4 linked regions of the Drosophila melanogaster genome follow. The gene in region 2 interacts genetically with the main gene of each other region. Each region holds a gene or a part of one and is shown on either strand. Other genes may lie near its edges. The genes, in order: fra, trio, ena and PlexB.

Region 1 (4,979 bases), on a different chromosome or scaffold from region 2:
GCACCCTCGGAACGAGCGGAAAAAATGTGTCCAGGAATATGAAAAGGGGTGCGAAATTAGAATAACATGTCACTCATATATTGTATCACGTAATGCGGCTAAATGTGCTCCTGGCCACGGGAAAAAGCCAGTGAACGCCAGGGTGAGGCGACTCGCCCAGGACAACATCAAACAATTGCCACAATTCACGGGCTAAAGAGCGAGGAAATATGACCAGGAAAGTGAAAACACAGAGCGCCACAAATAAGCACGAAAATGGGAACAGGACCTCGCACGTGAGTTTTTCGTACACGGTATAAGTAGGATCCTTCTATAAAATCAACTAGTTTGTTTAGCAAGATAGAAAAAACCACAAGGGTGTCTTAAGGCCACATAGATCTAAAGATCAAAATAAATTATTAAAATGCTTTTCTATAATTTAATTTAACTAACACGGAAATGTCTAACTTTGTCTTACTTTCATAGTATCTTATCAACCTTAATTGATGCATTATTATACGGTACTAAGTGGTCGTGAAGCCACGTGAGTCCATTGTTGTCACACAATTCTTTTCAGCTAGTTACACCCATGTAAGTAAAGTTGTTTTCTTTTTTTTTTAATTACATACCCACCACATAAAGCTTGAAGTTATGTGAGGGAATGCTTTTAATTAAATCTGGCATTAAGTCCTGCGACTTATGACATGCCATGACCTAAAAATTTGTTCAAAGATTTTTCATTCCATTTGCATATGACATGCCCCGACAATTTTTTACGACCGCACTTTTTTTGGGGTCCTTTTTCGGGCTGTCTTGGAGCTGGCGTTGATAAATTTTGCAGCTGATAAGGCGGCTCCCCGTTTTTCCAGGACACTTTTCACTTTTAGGGGTGGCTTTTCTTTCTCGTTTCGAAGATGGCGCAGAGACGAGATTCACGGCAGGACATTTAATTTGTTTGCATTATTTGCGCCTTTTGCGGGGATTTCCATTATCCCTCCCTCATTTTACGCGATTGTTTATTTCTCCAGCCGAAAATGGAAATATGATAAGCCTCTAAGCCACCCCTGGCTTAGTTTTCAAACCAAATCAATCAATTGATGCATTGTGCAGCTGCCCACCGATCTTGGGTAATCTTCTTCTGGGACCTAAAACTGAAACTGTGCCTGATCCTAAAACCTAATTGCATTTTGGGCTGCACTGGTTCTACCTGCGCTTACCTACCTGATCCCCTAAGATCACTTGTTCCCTGGCTTTGAGCTAATGATAATGACTCTTACGGCTACCATTTTGTTGGATTCTATTTCTTCGATTTCAGAATACTTTTTCACAGGAAATCGTGTTTGTTTTGGCTCAAATAATCGCAAACAAGTGCGTTGGTTTTCAATTCATGTTGTGCAGTGTTTAGTTTATCTCGTTTCAAGCGAAGCTCATTAGTAATGTTTAAGTTTTGAAGCACTATCGGTTTCGCAACCATCCCATTTTGAGTTCTTATCTGCAGGTGATATGATGGGAAGCAATTACGGTGAATTACCCCGGGTGATTGGCACATGTGGATGGAATAGGGCAGGGTTTTTGAAAGTACCTCAATTTTACGAGTGCAAAAAGAGCGCGAGTTGCGAAATATGACAGCTTATCGGATCAGTTCGCCGTTGACATCACCTTTCGCACATGAGGCTTTTTTTTTTTTGTGGGTCCCAATGCCTGCTTTCTGGCACGTCGACCAGACATCCAGTCGCCAAAACTGTACTTGCATTCATATTTGTTAAAATACAGATATCGAACTTTATGGTACCCGAATACACAACATAGATAGGGAATTGTACGAAGAGTAAAGTAACAGATAGTGTCATAAAATATGGTGGATGAGTGTAGTGAACTAAAAATTACTGGGCTGACAAACCACGTAGTTCATCTATTCGTACTATTTAATCGTAATATTTATTGAAGTGATATAAACTCATCTAATCTACCGAATTTATACACTGTTTTAGATTATTTCCTCCTGTCAGAAGGCAATTAAGGCGCAGCCCAAGAATTAAAGTTCAATCACATGTTCATAAAATTTTTTTTATATCTTTTATAATCTCTTTAATAATCTATATATGTACACAATTTGATAATGTCTTTCTGTGTAAGCAACTAAGCTTGGATTTCATGGGTCTTTGGTTTAAAATTATAAATTGACAACCTGCACAGCGAAAGATAGAAACTATCTACATTTTTATAAAGCCCTCTTACGGCACTTTGGTGCAAAATATTTATCATTTCAGATTGAAGTTCTCACCTTGACTTGCCAAACTGCTGCCAATCAGCTGGAATATGAGACAACTGCTGAGCAGCCAGTTCCACAAAGTCCTGCTGCTTCTGTTTGTTGTGATGGCCATATTCTGTTTGCTTTTCGCTGATTTGGCTGGAAACCGTCGTTTGCGATCGGAGGTAATTCGAATGGCTCAGGTTTATTTGGACTTTTGCGATTTGTTTACAACATTTTGGCTCTTGATACCCGCCAATCGCCGATTGCGCCTTCTATTTGTATCCTTTGCACCCACACATACACGCGACGCAAACACTCACACGCGACTTTTACTCACTCCACTTTTGTTGTGTATTCTTGGGCGATTATTGCTTTCGATTCTCTTGTTTTACGCTATTCGCATCAATCGTTTACGCGTTTTTGTTTTGCCGGCATTCGCCGCCTATTGTTGTTGTTTCAGGTCTTGTTGTTGCTGTTATTGCACGCTTGCAAGCGGGGCATTTTTACAACAACAGAAAATACTATCAACAAATTGCGCACACACACTCGAGTAAGTAGCGTTGTCTCGCTCTAACCTTCGGCAGGCATCAGGACTTGCAGCTGCAGTTCTATTTAAAACACATTTTCAGCGGCTGTATGTATTATTTGAGTGCCTTTTTCATTTATTTTCGATTTTGGCTGCACTTATTTTAATTTTCTACCTCTTTGCGATGGATTTTACTATTGGCAAACGCGTTTTCTCGCCACTAAAGAGTATACATGCGCGCAACGACCTCGACGACCGAAAAAAAATCCGAAACTGTCGAAAAAATCCCTAGCTGCGCGGGTGATGCGAAAACACATCCGCTATCGATGCTTATCGATGGTCTCACTACTATCGATGACGATGAAATGACTTTCGCACCATGTTATTCTTGCATATTATAAATTCATTATCATTTTACAAAGGGGTTTCCATAAGTAACGTAGTAATCAGTGCTCAGCTTTCTTACTAACGTAATCATAATATATTTTAATGACTGTCATCGACATTGAAAAGCAATCGATACTGGAGTGCACATCACCAAAAACGCGTTAAGGTCAGTTGAGCAATTTATTCCAAATGGCGCGTAATTCAAAAGTTAGGACCAAAGTCAATTACACATCAAAAGCAACAAACATTATTATTTCGAGGACATTTGCAGTTGGGATATTAATCATATGAATTTATATCGGTATTCAAAAGGTTTGCTCCTATATTTTTAAATATTTTAAAATTTCACATATTTTCGGTTTTACTTTACACAAATTTCTTTTTATGAGAGTCACAGGAGATTAATACTTAAAAATTTTAATGGCTTTCGAAATGTACCTCAACTTTCTCCCCGACTGATCTTGTTCATAAGTACGTTATTTCAGAAAAATCCTTTGACAGAAAACTTTATGCTCAAACCAATGGGAAAATCTCCTGTTTGAAATGCATTTTTTGCAGTTGGCCAGTGATTGCCACCCCCGAGCAACCGACGTGCAGACAGGTTGTGGTTAAAAGTTGTGGCTCTAAAAAAATGCATGTGGCAAAGGAACACTCATTTTAAAAGCGCCGACCAGCAACCAGCAGGAACTTTAAAGGCTGAAAAAATGAACATATCACTTTTCGCCTCGGAGAAATGTGAACGCAATAAAAAATCCGACCAAGGCCGACAAATTGTTGGTTGGGCGTGGGGTGGGGGGCGTGGCGTTGAAATGATAAATTTCACATTAAATGCCAGCGCTTAAGCGAAAGCGTCGTAAAAATAAACGACGGGGTGAAAAAGAAGGGGGAGGCATTTTTTTTTGGACTGGCAGGCCGCAAAAATAAGTGAAATGAAATTCCCTTCATTAGCGTATCATCCGTATGCCCACAAAATGTGGGTCAAGTTTCGAGGACTTGGATCAAATTACCAGAACCGGAGATTTTTCGCTGCTAATTGCAGGTTTTTTAAAAGCAGCACACACATTTCCCCACCAGACGCCACTGCAATTTTCAGTTTTAATTAATCCGAGCTACCGAGTCTTTCGAGTATCCGTATCTGTATGTGCATCCGCATCCCTGTATCTGTTATGCCAGCTTGAAGTTGGGCAACTTCTGGGCACCCACAAAACGCGGCGACTGATGGTGATTTGGATTCTGATTCGGATGTTCTTCCCATTCAAAGCTTTTAGGTGCCGACACGAAAAGGCGCTTAAGTGAATTAAGCCTGTGTGTGGTAATATATAAATTAAGGCATGCACTTCGGACATGGAAATTGCTTAAATATATAAAAGGTTCTCTCGTTTAACTTGGCAAATCCATTGTTCATGGCACTAAAGACTTTCACTGCAAATCGCTTCCTAAGAAAGTTGTTAACTTGGGTAGAACTAATAAAGGCAAAGATTTTAAATCCAGAGCCATTAGGAAGTTCAGAATATTTGCTTAAGTGATACTTCATGAGTTATGATATTCTGGAAGGGATACAATTAAGTTTGATTTTAAATTAGGTATATAGATAGAGTTTAAAGTACTTTCTGTTAATAAAAACCTGATTAATCAGGGCTTACTATTATTAGTATGCATTTCCATCACTTTGATTGTCAGTCGGCTAAAATAGTTGGCCATTTCCCGACTTAATTGGCGGCGACAGGCGACGCAGGCAGCAAATTGCGACGCCTGGCAGCAACAACAATGGCCAGCAAACCGGTGAGAGAGAACAACAACAAAGTAAGTTAAATTAAGTTAGCGTCGGCAGAC
Region 2 (4,864 bases):
CCAAAACTATTGTTCAATCTAATTAAGCAAACAATGGATTTAGACTCGCACTTTTACTTTAAGCACACAGAGTGCTATAAATGTCTGCATGTCAGTGTTATCGAGGCAGCACTGTTCGCCCAAATTACCCTTTCTTTCTTTCTTTCCTCTCGTTTTACGGCTCATTTCGGTTTTTGTTGTGGTTTTTTTTAGTCTTTGGGGCAGCAGCAAAAAATATTCGCATTCTTCGAGTTCGGCTCTTAAAGACTTTGGAAGCCGGTCCCCGGTTTTGCCCATACATATGTATGTATGTATGCGTTTGTATCTGTGTGTTCTTTTGCTGTTTCTTCTTCTTCTCTGTTCTCGGTGCTTTCTTCGCCGCACAGATTTATGCAACTTTTGTTGCTGCTAGTTTTTATTGGAGAACGTTTACTTTTATGACTTTTTTAGCCCGCCATGGCCCTCTGTGCCACCCATTTTGACCCGCACTTCGGCGATTCAATGTCAACAGCAGCCAGCTGAGTGAGAGAGAGATGGGCATATGTGGCGAGAAAGAGAGGGCGAGCCAAGAACAATGTGCGTGCTGTTCTTGCAATCGTCGAACGATGATGATTCATAAAAATGCGACTGCAGGCGAACGACGACTATAACAGGAAAATCAAGTGGAATGTGGCAATGCAGCTGCAGCAGCTGCTCTCCCCCTCCTCCCCCTCTCGCGAGCACCCCTGCATCCTCCCCCTATTCAAAATATATATATATACGATATATATATGTTGGTGCGGGTGAGGCGACGACGTCGCGACTCCTCCGAAATTGCAAACGAAGCGCAGCCAGCGATGTCGCGACGTCAGCTGACACAATGGGTTGCCATTGTACTGGTACAGTAAGGCCCCAGTAACGCGAAACCGCAGCTGCGTGGTATTCGGAATTTAACAAGAGATCGAAATACAAATAAACTACATAACTAAAGATCGAAGATGCTATTTACAACGATTTCTAAAAGCTACAAACTCGTGATTAGTCTCCAAGCCGAAAAAGTTGTTTACTAACGAGAGTTCCCTGTGCTGTAAATACAAAATGCAGGAGGCCGGAGAAATTTGGACTTGTGCCGCCAAAGGCAACATTGCAGTATAAATATCTAAGAACTTGACGTTTTCAATTCATCTAAATTGTAACTAAAGCTGGCAGTCATGCAATCCACTTTGAGTGCACTTAACTAAGCTGGACGTTTTTAAAGAAAAGTTGATCAAATATACATATATAGAATGTATATGTCAAGATGAAAAGTGTAAAATTTAATTAGGTGCAAGATGATTTGGGTGAGTCATTATAAGTTCCAAGAATTTTCTATGCTTTATTTATAGCTCGTAAATCAAAAAGTCTATAAAAATGTAAATGTCTATGCTACGAATTAAGCCAATTAGTTTGTGATGAAATCTAGAAAAGCAACATATTTAAATGTACAAAATATGAAAATGGTCCTCTTTACTTTGCTGAGTGTTATCATATTATTGCAATTTTAAATTATTATCATGGCTAGTGCTTATCAAACAATAACTTAACGTAATAAAGTGCAGGCATAGATTAAGAATTAGCTGCACTCTTTTTTTTCTCGGCAATATGTTCATAATTATTTATCTTGCTGTATTTTAATATATTTATACTTCTACGTGTGCTTTCGTAATACATAGATAACATAAATATAGTTATAACATAGACAATTTTGAGATGGACGACCTTTGCCCAGATCCAATTGGATGTCAATAGAACCTAACTAACTAAATGGCTATTCCTATGTGGTAGTAGCAACTACATCCTCACCTGGGAATGCTGATCAGGTAGCTGAGGAGACGCCGCAGATCCTCCGGCTTGAGGCGATCGCGACGGGGCGTGGCCGGGAAGCAGAGGAGCGGTCCGCCGCGCCGGTCCCGTCCGCCCGTGAGGAAGACGACCCGTTCCTGGAGGAGGGTCAGGAGATCCCTGGCCCGCTGGCCGTCCATGCCGTCGGCAGGGGAAGGGGGAGGGGTGGTTAAAGCGGCCGGGGGTTAATCACTGGAGGGGTTAAACTGGGGGGTCTCCGCCCGTTTTTTAATCCGACGATGGGCACTGCAGCATAACGAATTCCAGCCTCGAATTTCACTTGTTTTGGCTCTGTTATTAGTTATTATTATGAACCGCTGCTTTTGCTCATTGATTTTCGCAAATTTCTCGCTGGCATTTTCATGGTCACTCTTTTGCTGTTGTGTTTGTGTTGTTGCGGTTTTCGTGTGTTTGCCCGTGTGTGCGTGTGTGTGTGTGGGTGGAAAATGAGTGGGGAAGCAGAGATGCAGATTAGCAATGGGTATTTCACTTGGTTTTCTAAATGCTACACATAATTTGCACACAATTTGTGTAGTTTTCCTATTTTTAGATGCAAGGAGTGGAGTTTTTTTCTTCAGTCACCCTCGCACTTTCGTGCGTGTGGGAGTGAGAGGGAGATACAAACAGACGGGCAAACACACACACTCGCATGGGGGTGCATACATATGCGTATGTGTATGTGGCATGTGCACACATGTATACATATGTACTCCCGTTAAATGTCATAAATCACACGCAGCATAAAAACATCAAATAGAACTCGCGCAGGCAGGCACACAAGTTGAAACATTATTTGGAAATATACACACTCAACACAACATTCGCCACTGCGAACGGGCGAAAATCCGCTATGTTTTAATTGCCTCAATTTGAACACAAACTCCAGACGTATATATAGCCTGTATATACATATGTATATGCTATGTATATCTGTATCATCACATCATCCGCAAGCAGTTCTCTTGCGTCTTGGCTCTTCTTCTTGCCACTGCTTGTGCCACCAAATTGATTTTTTTCACTCGCGCTGCTTTTGTTTTTCACACGCTTTCCCACCGGTAAAATCACCCAAGTTACCGTTGCACGCAGTTCGCGACTTGACGCGGGCTAAGCTAAAATTTTCATTTTTCAAGAAACCGCGATTTTACGAACGGGCGCTCTCTGTTTTGTTTAAACAAATTGGATTTTGCGAAACGACAAGTGTGACCAGATGCCGAAACGGCTTACAAACTGAATTTTCAGCCTTTTTTAATCGAGCACACCGATTGCGTGCCTCGATAGGTGTTAATAATCGATAGTCATAAGGCATCGCAATTGAGTAGAGTTTTTCTTAAAAAAGTCTACATAGTTACGCTCATGATTATCTCAAAATGATACCTATGATTAAATATTAAATATTTTGACTTTTTTTAAATAATATGTAAAAATACCAACTATCTACGATAACAGGCATCGATTGTACTACTATCGATGCTCGCCTGCTAGCATAAGCTCGCTGATACAACACTGTCTGTTGTTCATTAGCTTCCGTTTCTGCCGAGTTTTACCAAATAAACCCGAATCAAATTAATATACCTGCAAACATTTTACGCAAAATCAAGAACTCGCTTCGCCAGCGCAAGAAGAAGCACCGCCCACGGCAGGCCACGCCCCCAGTGCGCCCCGATCCCAAGGACGCCGCCGCCAAAATGGAGAGCAACTTGAACAGGATCATTCGTGAATCGGCCAAACTGAAACTCTGCGGTCAGCTCAGCAAATACACCAATGTGATGAAGGGTGAGCAAACTTTCACCTTTGGAGCAGCACCTTCAAGCTCTCCATCCCATAGAATCCCCGCTAGAACCGCTTCCCTAATCGCAGCATCCACTTTGCAGGATGGCAGTACCGTTGGTTTACGGTGGACGCCAAGACAGGATCGCTGAGCTACTACCTGTGCGACTCGTCGACGGTGGGCGACGACATCGCGCCCTCGCCCCACGTCCTGGCCAGTGCTCCCAGGGGCCAGGTGCAGCTGGCCGGCGCAGTGGTGTACCCGAGTGACGAGGACTCTAGGACGTTCGCCATCGCCTGCGCCTCCGGCGATACGGTAAAGCTGAGGGCCAACGATGCCAGGGCCCGTCAGGAGTGGGTGGATGGCCTGCGGGCGGTGGTCGAGAGTCACATGAAGGCGATGGACATCAGCAACTCGTCGCCGCTTCCTCCGCGGGAATTGCTTGCCGCCTCCGATGCCATGGTTTCAGCGCGCCAAGCTCTGTTTCTCACGGAACAATGGTAACTGCACAGTGATTCGTAGCTAACGCCGCATTACCTCCTGCAATCTATAAATCTATCCCCAAACCCTTCCAGCAACGCTTCTCTGGCCAGGGCCATCGAGAGCATCGACTGCGCTTCCTTCTCGCCAACGGATCCCGATCTTCTTTTGCTCAAGGCGATCTCCACGGCCAGCACCCAGTGCCTGCACCAGTGCTTGGGATTACTGCAACGCCACCAGGAGATCAACCAGCCGGTGGCAGAGGCCGTGCCTCTTGTGCTTTGAGAGATGCATGCTGCAAGGATAGTCTCCAGTTTCCAGTTTCCACTAAGATATGCCCAATAAACACTAAGCCAAACCGCAATGCAAAATCAAGAATCAAGATTCAAGACAACGGTTTGGTAAGCAATGAGAAGACTTTCAGGTTGGGTTACTTTTCAATGTTTTTATAAAATACTTTTTGTTCGTTTCGGTTTTCCGTTTTTAAGTTTTTATGTTTTTTGTTTTCTTCGATTAATTAGAACATTCATTTCGACATTTAAAGTTAATTTGAACATAAAGTTTGCACTAAAGTTTATAGAAAATGTTGAGTTTTGGACGTGGACTTGGACGCTGATCCAGATCGTACAAAGATACACAATATCCAGGAGATTTAGCCGCTAACTCTTGCCACTGCTTATATTACATCCTATTCCGAAAGTAATTCGTTAAGTTTCGATACGTGTGGGAACATCAAAGTCTATTGGGGGAACTGGGATTACATAGATACTTATATAT
Region 3 (7,627 bases), on a different chromosome or scaffold from region 2:
CACTTCTTGATGTTTGCCATGGGCAAACTGTTTTGAGTCTCCTGACTGCCTGGCAACCTACTTTGTGACTCCGCTGCTCACATGTGTGGGCCCTGTTTGTTTTTATGATTTTTTTTTTTCCAGTCCGATGTCTGCCTGCGGGTCTTTATGGACAGCCATATGGATTACTCCAGTACTCGCATTCGTAGTGCCCCTTAGAAATATTTAGTTGCCAAATCATTTAAGCCGCGGCACACGCTCTGGTCCAAAAAAAAAAAAAAACAAAACAAAAATGGTAAAAAAAAAAAACGAACTGAACCATTCTGACAGAGCCATTAAAGCTAGCCGGTAATCGGTTGGCTCAAATCAGAGATCGGTGAACCACCAACAGCCACTACACAACCACTTACAATGGGCCACAATAATGTTAATTGGAAATAACGTTTAGGAATTGTTGTGGGGCAAAAAACCGAATCAGACTGAAACATAAGCCAGCGAGTCAGAAACAGAGGCTCAGATCTCTGAGAGCTGAGTGCTCCAAGTTGAGATAGACAATGTTGTATATGAATTTTTCATAACATGCTACAAGCTGTGCCTCCAGGTACCTCCCCCCCCCCATTTCCCGCCGCCGTCGCCGCTTTTCGCCGCCAAAGAACAGTTGAAATGAAGGAAACAAAAACGCAGCGAGCGAGGGAAAAATACTTGTAATAGTCACTCGAGGGGGAAATATAAATTATTGAGCTCGTTTCTTAAGTAATTATCGCACTGACGGACGGAACCAACTTACTGAATCACAAACACTGACCGAATGACTAACTGGCGGATGGACAGACTGACCAACTGGTTAAACGACGGTCACGAGACGTCGGCGAGGCTTCAAGATTGCCGGCAGAAAAAAGCCTCGGGCGCAACTTTGTAAGATTCGAGAGCTTATCGCATACCCTTCGAAACTGCATAAGAAATTTGAGATGGAACTTGCGCAATTTCATAGCTAGGCGAAAAGTTGTAAGGGTATGCCCTACAATTCATTGTATCATTGTAGCTCTCTGAAGATATTGCATATTTTAGGGAAACTGCTTGAAACTCTGTTTCAGTGCCTGAAAACTTCTCAAAATATAAACTTTTGAGTATTAAAATAAAATCGCCTTTCAATAATCTGAATCTTACATCCTTCCCTCAACGAAAATCGTGTAAAACGAGAACGTTTTTTCTCAATAGGTTCTATGCAGACTACTTGCCCTCACGTCTTTTAATTGTCATGCCATTTGGGAATCGTCTGAAGCGACTGTGAGTCAGGTTGTGGTCTCTCCATCTACCTGGCCATTATGCTCGGTTCCCAGCTCGGGGTCAATCCAGCTCAACATCCATAGCACATCTCATCATTTCTCATTATTTTATTGACTTTGAAGTGTAATTATTTGCCTTTTAGACGAATTCAAAGCGCAGCAGCCGCTAAAATGAGAGAAAAATACAGATTGTGAGCCGATACTCAGTTTCTCGCTCACGTCTTTTCTGCTCATTCGCCTTTAGATATATTTTTTTTCTCGGCTTTTGTTTGTCTTGGCCTCGACTGAGAGACCGTTTCGGTCTCTGAGACCCAGTCGCGATCTCGGTCTGGATCTTGGCTTTAGTCTCCAGCGGGTCTTGAGTGCGTTCAGACGTGTGCAGCTGAGATCTTGGAACGACGAATGGTGATCGGTGATCTCTGATCAGTGACCAGTGGGCAGAGAGCGAATAGCCAAGATCCAAGAGCCTAGGCAAACATAAATACGATACATCCGATCCGATCCGATCGTTCGGTTTCATAGTGTGCTTAAGTGTGGGATCGATCGTGGGATCTGTTTAGTGTCTGTGACGCCTCTGCAAATATTGGCCAACGGTTAATGGCCATGAAGAAGCTCTACGCGAAGACCTCGTTCACCAGCAAGAAGCCATCGAGTGCCGCCAATTCCACTCCGATATTGGCCTACCACCAGCAACAGCATCAGCAGCCGGGCAATGGCATTTGCGAGTTCCAGGTGGTGGCACCTGGTCACTCCGGTGAGCTAATGATACGCCGCAGCCAAAGTATGCACCACAAGATGTCGCCTCCAGTCGGCGGCCTGGGCTCCAAGTCGGAGTACTACAGCATTGAGGAGCTGCAGGAGCTGGATTTGCTGGACTATCGTCATCCCATGTACCATCATTATCAGCAGCAGGAGCTGAGGCAGCGCTACCATGAGCACGAGCAGTTGGTGCTGCAGTTACCCAAGGCTACTAGTCCAAAGGCAGGACCCATCTATGAGGCACCACAGAGATCTCAGCAGCAGCAGGATCAGATGTTGTATGTACCAACGGCAGCGCAAAGAGATTCATCATCAAGTGCTGCAGCCACATCTATAGCCAGCTCATCTACCCTAACTTCATCCCCATCGCCATCCTCCTCTTCATCTCTGATCTTTTCCACTTTGCGCAAATGCGTTTCGCCCTCGAATCCCTCGGTGAATCCGAACCAACCCTCAAAAACTCAACCCTCCAAACTGGGCTGTTCCATGTCGTTTTCAATTAGAACGACAACGGCAACAGCAGCCACAGCCGCAGCAGCAAATGCAGCAACAGCAACACTATCGACACAGCAGCAACAACAGCAGGCACAGCAGCAACACAAGCAACATCTCTATAGCAACATACATCATTATCTGATCCGACAACAACAGCAGAAACAACACTACACATTACAACGTCGCCATAATTCGGTCAAAGATAAATTCATTGGGGGCATTACAACGATTTTTGCGTATGTGTAACCCACTTCCCTATGCGTCTGTCCTTGGTTGGGTTCTGTAATAATTCCCATATTTCCCCACTTTTCTCTACTATACTTCTTCAATCTCAGCACGTAGTACTTGGCCCTGGACTTTTGAATGCGTTTTACAGCTTGGTGAGATCGTTCGTAAATCAAAGAACTCTTAACCCCCACAGAGCAGCCGCCGTCGTACTCTCCGGTTTAATCATAATTATAATTTAACGCCAATTAAGCTGGAAAACGCTATCGTGTGCACACGAATCTGCATCTTGCACTCGGCTGCAGTTTAAAAACTTAAGCTTAACGCACGAATAAATCCCCAAGGCATAGAAAATTTCACCTGCCACATATTGAAAATGCTCCCAAAGCGATTTTCCAGTGGCTCAATTATATTAGCATCCCATTTAACTGGCCATTTGCGGGGCACTTTTCGATTTTCATTTGGGTTTTCCACTCAGCTGCACAGCGCAAAAAAACGATTAAGATGTTAGTTTTTACTGAAATATTTAATTGCTTTCTTTAACGATTAAAATACTATGTATCACATGTGTCGATTTTACGATTCATGAACTCATTTCCATTTCTTTACAATCTAATGTAATTAAAACAGTCGTACAGTTCTATGATTGTAGCTTAAATCTCGGAATTGGCACGTTTAATAGGCACTTATTACGTGTAAAATCGAATGAAAGCATTTATGCACTGAATGTTAGTCACAAAATGCATTACTAATCCCAACTACTTTGCTGCTGCGAACTACTGAAATAATTTTAGTTGCATTAAAATTGTTTAAAAGAGTACAACACTTTTACAAAAGCAATTCTTTTGCTCACTCCGACTTCCTATAATTATTTTCGAATATGTAGTATCCAATTTATGAGATATAAATCGATTCGATTGTAAAAAACAGAAATTTAAAAAAACTGATTGACCGCTATTGTTTCGCAGTTTCTCATAGTGTGCAGAAAAAAAAAACTTCACTTTCGTTGCCACGAATTTCGATGCAAATCAAAGCGGACAGGCTCATAAGACTTAGCTCCAAACTGTCGGTGGTTATATAAGGCCCTGAAACGGCGCACAGCTGTGCCAGCCGCCAGAGTGCGACTCGGATTCGGATTGAGATTCGTCCGTCTGTCCAGCCGTCCGTACCGCCGATCTGCGCACTCCATTTAAGTGCAAAACTACTTGCGGCTTTTGGCCGGGCCAAGTCTGTAGCGAGAATACTGCCGACTCGACTCGTTTGGCGGCTGCTCTCCGTCATTATCTCTATGTGTCCCCCAGTAACACACAACTCGGAGCAACTTGGAGCAACTTGGAGCTGCTCAGGCAACTTGGAGCGGTGCAGGCTAGCAAAAACAAAAAAAGGGGCAGAGAAAAAAAGAAAAAAAAAAAGAACGGAGCTATAGGATAGAAAGAACACCACATAGCCAAGTTGAGCAAAAGGCAAGGCAACTCGTCATCGCCTTTGCATTTTTCCAATGAAGGCGTTCATTTGTCGCTGGCCATGTTTACTTCACTGGCTGACTTTAATTGTCAACTCAACTGAGTGTCCCGGGGGGAGAAAATGCTAAAGGTTGAATGCAGCATATACACGTTCATATTAGAACTTTCATTAGAATCATTTAATCGGTCCGTGCGACTCGAGACGATCATCTGGCTGGATGACAGGTGTGCGGGCATACAAAGAAATGCATTGCACTTCCTGTCCTGAAACCGATGGGATTAGAGGGGAGTCGAGGGTATACATAGATCAAAGCCCTTGCTCACTTGAGGCGTGTGAAAAGTCTGGAAGATCACGGTGCAGTAAAGTGCAGTTGAATGAGTTCTTCAAGGGGCAAATTGTAGAGCCGATCTAATGATCTGAAAACGACTGCTCATTGCGACATTCTTTCTGGGAAGTCTTAATCGAGTCTAAGAAGTTTTTTTTATTATGACGGAAAATCGATTTCTATGAATATATGTAGAAGCTTTCCATAGAACAATATATACTTTTTACTTCCAATCCCACGAAAGCCATCAATAAATTTGTATCTCTTTTATTGAACTCGTTTAGTGCAAATAATAAAGTTGCCAAATTTGACTAATTTGTTAGCACAACTTCCGTTTCGTTTCCCACGATCTTTTAAGACTTTAAAAGAGTTAACATCATAAAATGGAATTTTTGTACATACATATATGTTTCTCGCACATTTTCATATCTTTTCTTCTCAAGGCAAGGGCTATTCCCTATAATAAATTTTCAGCTCGAACTTCTTGAAGTGTGTTAAGTCCTCATCATTTCCATACACATTCAAGGTTCCATTCCATACCATTTAAGTCAGCCAACTAACCATAATATTCACACTTATTTCTTGCAGTGAGCAGAGTATTATCGGGGCGCGGGCCTCTGTGATGGTGTACGATGACAACCAGAAGAAGTGGGTGCCATCGGGCAGCTCGTCGGGATTGAGCAAGGTGCAGATCTACCACCACCAGCAGAACAACACGTTCCGTGTGGTGGGACGAAAGCTGCAGGATCACGAGGTGGTCATCAACTGCTCCATTCTGAAGGGACTGAAGTACAATCAGGCCACGGCAACATTTCATCAGTGGCGCGATTCGAAATTCGTTTACGGCTTGAACTTCTCGAGCCAAAATGATGCGGAGAACTTTGCTAGGGCCATGATGCATGCCCTGGAAGTAAGTATATCTCTTTCACAACCAATATCTGTATCATTCGCTAACATTTGAATGTCTTTCTCAGGTGCTCAGTGGTCGCGTGGCGAACAACCCAGGTGGACCGCCCACAAATGGCAATGGCTATGAGGAGGACATGGGCTATCGCACGATGACCAGCGAGGATGCAGCCATACTGCGTCAGAACAACAGCATAGGTGGGCACGTCACGCCCTCGGCCCAGACGCCCACCTCGCAGACCAACCAGAATAACATCCCCCAGAGCCCGCCGACGCCCCAGGGTCATCATCGCACCAGCAGGTAGGCTCCATTTCCATTAATTGTGTTGGATACGGCATGCTCATTGCTGTGGAAAAACCCATTAGCTTAGACTCGATTGATCTAACCATTCAAGAAATATTCAATTTTATGAGAATAAGTCATTAGCACATATTGGTCGGAAGGAACATCAGTTTTCTTTGAACATTATAAAGCTGAAAATCCGTGGTTGTTATAAATGAATCCTAAGATCAAAAATTTCATTAGTCTTCAGATGCAGATACATTTTCTTGCAAGATATGTAATGTAGGATACAATTGTAGGATTGCATTACGCAAGTTGGGAACAATTTCTATCCACTTACACATGAGCAGTAGGGGCCAACACTTTTATCCGAGTTCTCGTGTCTCATCTCTCATATCACTCATTGATCCATCCCCATCCCACGCCGAACCTTTGCTCACCCAAAAAGGAATTCCCTCAGCGCCCCACCGGCACCACAGCCCCAACAGCAGCAGCAGCAGCAGCAGGCGCAGCAAATGGGTCAGCCAGGATCCCACTATGGACCCACTGGAAATGGACCCACTTCGAATGGCCTGCCACAGCAGGTGAACTCACAGATTCCGCCGGCACCGCAGCAGCAGCCACAACAGCAACAGTTTCAGCAGCAGCAGCAGCAACAGCAATATCAGCAAATGGTCCAGGCGGGCTATGCGCCCTCTCAGGTGAGTTCGATATGCTATAACCTCACCCCGTCCCAGTTTCCTCATGCGGTATTTCTGTTTCATTTCATTGGCAAATTGGCTTGATCCTGAATCTGAATCTCCTGAAAACCCCGACACACCACCACCATCACACCCCAACAGCAGTATCAGCAACCCCACTACGTGCTCTCCAATTCTAATCCCAATCTAACTGTGCACCAATACCCGACACAGCAGGCGCAGCAGCAGCCACCGCAAGCGCCACAGCCGCCGCTCCAGAACGGTGGAATGTACATGGTGGGTCATGGTCATCTACCGAGCTCCGCGAGCGCCAACAGTGTTGTGTACGCCAGCCAGCAGCAGATGCTCCCGCAGGCGCATCCACAGGCACCTCAGGCGCCGACGATGCCAGGTCCGGGCTACGGTGGTCCACCAGTACCTCCGCCCCAGCAGCAGGCAGAGAATCCGTACGGTCAGGTACCCATGCCGCCGCCAATGAATCCGTCACAGCAACAGCAGCCAGGTCAGGTGCCTCTAAACCGGATGAGCAGCCAGGGTGGTCCAGGTGGCCCACCGGCTCCTGCTCCGCCCCCGCCACCACCCAGTTTTGGTGGAGCTGCTGGAGGAGGACCACCACCACCAGCCCCGCCACAGATGTTCAACGGCGCACCGCCGCCGCCAGCCATGGGCGGTGGACCACCGCCGGCTCCACCGGCACCGCCAGCAATGGGTGGCGGACCACCGCCAGCACCGGGCGGACCAGGGGCACCACCACCACCGCCTCCGCCGCCGGGATTGGGAGGAGCGCCTAAGAAGGAAGATCCCCAGGCAGATCTCATGGGCTCGCTGGCCTCCCAGCTGCAGCAGATCAAGCTCAAAAAGAATAAGGTAAAATATCAATTTATTTAATTTATACAACTTGACTAAGCATTGTATTACCGTTTATTTTTTATTTTTAGGTCACCACCTCTGCTCCGGAGAATAGCGGCAGCAGCACGTCCAGTGGCGGCAGCGGCAACTATGGAACCATAGGACGAAGCTCTAATGGCATGGCCTCCATGATGGACGAGATGGCCAAGACGCTGGCACGACGACGCGCCCAAGCAGAAAAGAAGGATGTAAGTCAACTTTGTTTAACTTATTCCATAATCAATATCTTAATTCGTTGGCATATTGCAGCCCGATCCTGAAGCCGAAGTGAAAAAACGCCCCTGGGAAAAGTCCA
Region 4 (4,805 bases), on a different chromosome or scaffold from region 2:
AGTTGTGAGTGCAAACCAACAAAACTGGAAAGGTGGAAACTAATTTATAAAATCAAAAACGTTTTCCCGATGACAAGCGATTTGTTCTTAGCTGGGAATAACACTATTATAATAATAATATTATACTTATATAATTCCTAATAATTTGCTCCAAGCATACATTTTTTTTTTTGTAAAAAGAAAATTAAAATTAATAAAAAGTAAGTAAGTAAGAGCTGCGTATCATTGTGCCGTTTGATATTCCAAATTCCTAATAAATTATTCTCTTATTGAGTTGAAAAATATCCATGTTTGTCATTATATGTGTTGTAAAGATTATAGACAGTTTAAGTGTACACATTAACCTCTTTGGTCAATCTAATCTAACTTTTTGGTAAGAGATGGTTTATCTCTTTAGCATCTCTTATCGCAGCATTTTCTGCGGCAGGTCTGGTTATGTTTCGAGTGTTCACGTCGGCTGTTAACGGATTTTTGATACATTGTTGTTATGTGTAAACAGTTCTATTTATGTACTTGTACATGTTGCACAGCGCAAATATTGTCGATTAACCATGGTTTCCCGTGCTAAGTTTCGATGTGATGCCAACCAAGTATAAACTAAAGATCCTGTGTTATACCAAAACGAATTCGGCGTTGTCAAGATCGATGTTCCCGATTGCTCTTCAGTTCACAAAGAATTTTCACAGTAAATAATGTGATAGCAGCATAAGTTTCATTAACTATCGCTTTGAAATATAGTCGGTTAACCGAAGTACACCCTTGCAAAGTGACTACACAAATGGATTGATGAAGCATTTTTATAGGGGTCAATATCCAATGCTAAGTGTTGAAAAAAATCCACAAATAAAACTTCAATATCTGTAGTGGTTCCCTAATTTAACTTATATATTCGGAGAATAAATGAAATTGTATATACATATGTACGTATGACAGGATCAGAAATCTCTCTGAGAATATATAAAAATCGAATCTTCAATTCAGTCAAAATTTAAAACCCACCGATATAATCTATTTAGTGATACTTATTTAACTAAGTGTTAATAATTTACAGGTCTTAATGACGGTTGGTCTTAATTTACAGTTGTAGAGAAATTCAATAAATTATTAATAAGACAATTGATTAGCAAAATAGCCATTCGTTGGACAAATTTTCCAAAAATTGTTGAATAATAATAATCAAATTTTTTAAATTTATATAATTTTAATAGTAAAAAAGGTACATAAGTAAAATTAGTATAAGTATATACATAAATAGTCCCAAACACTACGTGGCGTTGAAGCCTCCATGCCATGAGAAACCCTTAATGAAATAATTTAACATTAAACATGTTATGATTTTAAAATAATTTTATAAAATTTTAGCCATCGTGCCACATAAATCAATGTTGTTCAAAACTTTGTGTAGAGATAGGTGGGTCTGTAACACTCGAATCAAAAACAATATTAAGATAAAAATAGCGCGCACGGCAAGTGTTGCATGGAAGAAGATGAGATCAATTTAGATTCTTTGGAGATTGCTCTTTTTAACGCGACTACCATTTCATTGATATTATTTTACAAAAATGTTCCTGGAACATTTTAGACTCCATCGGTGGTGTCTTCTTTCTTTTTTCTTTTAACATTAGCCAATTGATTGGATGTGGAATCAGAACTGAAAACATTTAAACGATATCTACATAAATACTTCCGAGGTTTTTAATGGTAAGCTTCCCTTTAATGTGCTCCTTGTGAATACAGCATTACAATGCCCTCTAGCTCGATAGTTCAATTTGTATGCGATAGGCTGATACAGCCGATACTAATAATCTGCTCTAGGACTGATAGTGTACACACAACGTTTGAGCGTTGCCTAAGAAGTTTTTTTTAAATAAATATTTGTTTACATTGACTAATCGATTTTTTGTGTTAAACAACCTTATAAAAAATGCGCTAAACCTAAAATAGCCAAATGGATCATTTTAATTTAAAAATATTTATGCACCTACAGTGAATCAGCGGCATATAAAATTAATTCGCATTAAATTCAATCGATATTAAAAAGTTTATATATTAAGGAGAGAGAATGTAGAGCTAAATAATAATAAAAATGACATATGGGGAATTGATGCCCAAACTCAACTACAAACTGATCATACACAAAACCACAAATAAATATGTTGCGAAAGGAATTGTATTGTGCAAACATTATACATGTTTTACATGTACTGTGTATTATTATCATACTCGGTTCTCAGCATTATTGCGTTAACTGCATTGAAGAACTGCCGGCTCAGGCGTTATCTCCCTTAAATGACATAGTCGCCCAGTTTAACTTGCCATCAATACCAGTTCAATCAACAGCTTCCAGCTATGGCAATCGATCAATTGGAAACAATATAGAAAGTGTTAGAGACTCTCAATCTAAAAATTATTTTACTCACATGAGCTTCGACTTTATGCACAATGTTTTGTTTGCGGGTGCTACAAATAAAATACTTAAACTTAACGAAAACCTTCGAGTGCTGGCCGAGGCTGTTACTGGGCCGTTACATGATTCCCCGCAATGTCACGCTGGAGGCTGTCCGGAAGATATTGAGACATCGCTTGTCAATAACTTCAACAAAATTCTAGTAGTAAGCTACGCTCACGATGGTATTCTCATAGCGTGTGGAAGCATTCGACAAGGTAAAATAGCAAACACATATCAAAATAAAAATAAAATACTTAAGTCGGCGACTTCGTATGGGACCGAAACTCCTGACATATCGTATTGGTTTATAGAAGTTATTGGTCATTTTTTGTAGTCATCGTAGAACAATGTCGCAGTGTTTTTGAGCTCCACATAAAAAAGCGGCGAATATAAGTAATTATTCAAAAGTGCGGAAGGAATATGATGATAAACAAAACAGGATTTTAAAATGTTATAAATTAAAAAATCTATAGTTGAACTCTTGAAACAATTTGGGTAGTATTAACGTTAAAGTATTAAAATAAAACAAGATAATATGCTATAGTCAAGATCTCCGATACTCAGCTAGTGTGAATGCGAACTCGAAATCGAAATTTCATCATTTTTCTGGGATATCGATAGATATTGGGGAATAAAAGAAGAAACAATTTGAAAAATGTTCAATAGTGTGGGCGTGACCGGTTTGGCGGCTTTAGGGAGTTAGAGTAGGCGTGGCAAAAAGTTTAAGCAACTAATAAAATTAAAAAAAATATTCTAAAATGTTTGCAAAAATATGGGCGGGCAGTTTTGGGCATAATATTACTTCAATCATGCGATGCGAATCGTCTTTAAAATACTTTTCAACGAATCAGTTAACAATTTTTACTGTTCCTGAAATCAATTCTGATCGAATAAACGAATTTACATATTTGGTAAGTTTTGGCCAATTTCGTAGCAATATGATGAAATTGCGCTCTTTTTTAGGAATATCAAATTGGAATATAACAAAAAAAAAACTGAAACTAAACAACTGAATCTAATGTGCATTTTAAATAATAAAAATGGATCATTTTATACATCATATTAAAATTAAAAAAATTTCATAAAAATAATACGTAGTAGAAAATAAAAATTTTTAACATAAATAAAAATATGAAAACTGTTTATTGCAAGTCATATGTATCTTGAGGCACGAAGTGCGGACACAAGCACTCAACAATCATTGCCTTATTAATTTTTCACACGTCGAAAGCTGAATACTCTAATGAATATAATAATATTATAAAGTCATTTTTGAAATTTTTTTTTGTGATAATATGTACATAGGTTTGACTCTTTCTAATCTATTTTCAAATAATAATAACGTTAAGGCAATGCAAAACAAGAATTTTTCGCATGGTGCCAATTGATCAAAAATAATATAGATTTAAAGTCTATGAACTTCTAAGGTGAAGGGCATATATTGTCAAATTTACAATGCATGAGCACACGTGTGCACACACACAGATGTCTGGTATCACTGTATGCGTAGAAAAGAGCTGTTCGTTGTAGCGCTCTCCGCTCTCTCGCTCTCGAACAAAAATTCGAGAGAGCCTGGAGCAACCTCTAGAGCCACGGCGAGAAAATCGTGGGCTAAGGACAGGCAGACGGACATGAGTAGATCGACTCGGTTAGTGATCAAGATCAGGATTTTTGATATTTTATAGGCTCGGTGACGTTCCGTTCTACATGTAGTATACATTTTTACTTTACAAGTTACGGGTATATCAAGTCCAATGGATACTATGACTTAGGTGTTATATTTTGTCCTTAAAATAGGTTTTAAAAAATTCCGCGATAGTAATAAAATTATCTTTATTTTCAGGAGCCTGCGAAATTTACAGCCTGCCACGTTTTCCGGCAACGCCCCAGTTTTTTGCAGTTCCATTGGCTGCTAACGATGAAAACGCGTCTACATATGCATTTGTAGGTCCGGCGAGATATGCGTGGAAAGAAGAGGATATTTTATATGTGGGGACAACATTTACGAATGTTGGTGATTATCGTCATGACGTGCCAGCCATTTCGTCCCGCCGACTTGATGATTTAAACTATGCTGAATTTTCAATACAGCAGTCAATTATAAATATCGATGTAAAATATCGGGATCATTTTCTAGTCGATTATATTTACGGCTTTAATTCTTCTGAATATGCGTACTTCATAATTGTTCAAAAAAAATCACATTTAGCTGATGAGGCCGGTTATGTAACACGCTTGGCACGCATTTGCATTACAGATCCTAATTACGACAGCTATACTGAAATAACTGTTCAATGCACTGCAACTGAAAACAATGTTGACTACAATATTGTAAGGGATGCGAAAGTAACTCCAG

The links.
Region 1: of trio (region 2) and fra, changing one enhances a phenotype caused by changing the other (phenotypic enhancement), as found in Drosophila melanogaster (one study listed by BioGRID).
Region 3: of trio (region 2) and ena, changing one suppresses a phenotype caused by changing the other (phenotypic suppression), as found in Drosophila melanogaster (one study listed by BioGRID).
Region 4: of trio (region 2) and PlexB, changing one enhances a phenotype caused by changing the other (phenotypic enhancement), as found in Drosophila melanogaster (one study listed by BioGRID).

The regions. Positions count from the first base shown.
Region 1 is NT_033778.4:12,527,111-12,532,089, reverse strand, and holds the start of fra (frazzled), read right to left. Parts: upstream 3,038-4,979; 5' UTR 2,364-3,037; coding exon 2,264-2,363; intron 1-2,263.
Region 2 is NT_037436.4:1,031,850-1,036,713, forward strand, and holds the start of trio (trio), read right to left. Parts: upstream 3,027-4,864; 5' UTR 2,649-3,026; intron 2,217-2,648; 5' UTR 1,980-2,216; coding exon 1,801-1,979; intron 1-1,800. Other genes in the region: CG9205 (uncharacterized protein), read left to right, coding at 3,525-3,612, 3,711-4,107, 4,183-4,372.
Region 3 is NT_033778.4:19,153,613-19,161,239, forward strand, and holds the start of ena (enabled), read left to right. Parts: upstream 1-1,608; 5' UTR 1,609-1,862; coding exon 1,863-2,755; intron 2,756-5,121; coding exon 5,122-5,443; intron 5,444-5,507; coding exon 5,508-5,740; intron 5,741-6,170; coding exon of another isoform or gene 6,171-6,182; coding exon 6,183-6,423; intron 6,424-6,564; coding exon 6,565-7,290; intron 7,291-7,361; coding exon 7,362-7,520; intron 7,521-7,581; coding exon 7,582-7,627. UniProt on the Drosophila melanogaster protein: Functions, together with Abl, trio and fra, in a complex signaling network that regulates axon guidance at the CNS midline. Required in part for robo-mediated repulsive axon guidance. May be involved in lamellipodial dynamics.
Region 4 is NC_004353.4:40,773-45,577, reverse strand, and holds the start of PlexB (plexin B), read left to right. Parts: upstream 1-1,799; 5' UTR 1,800-2,153; coding exon 2,154-2,664; exon of another isoform or gene 2,665-2,804; intron 2,805-4,292; coding exon 4,293-4,805.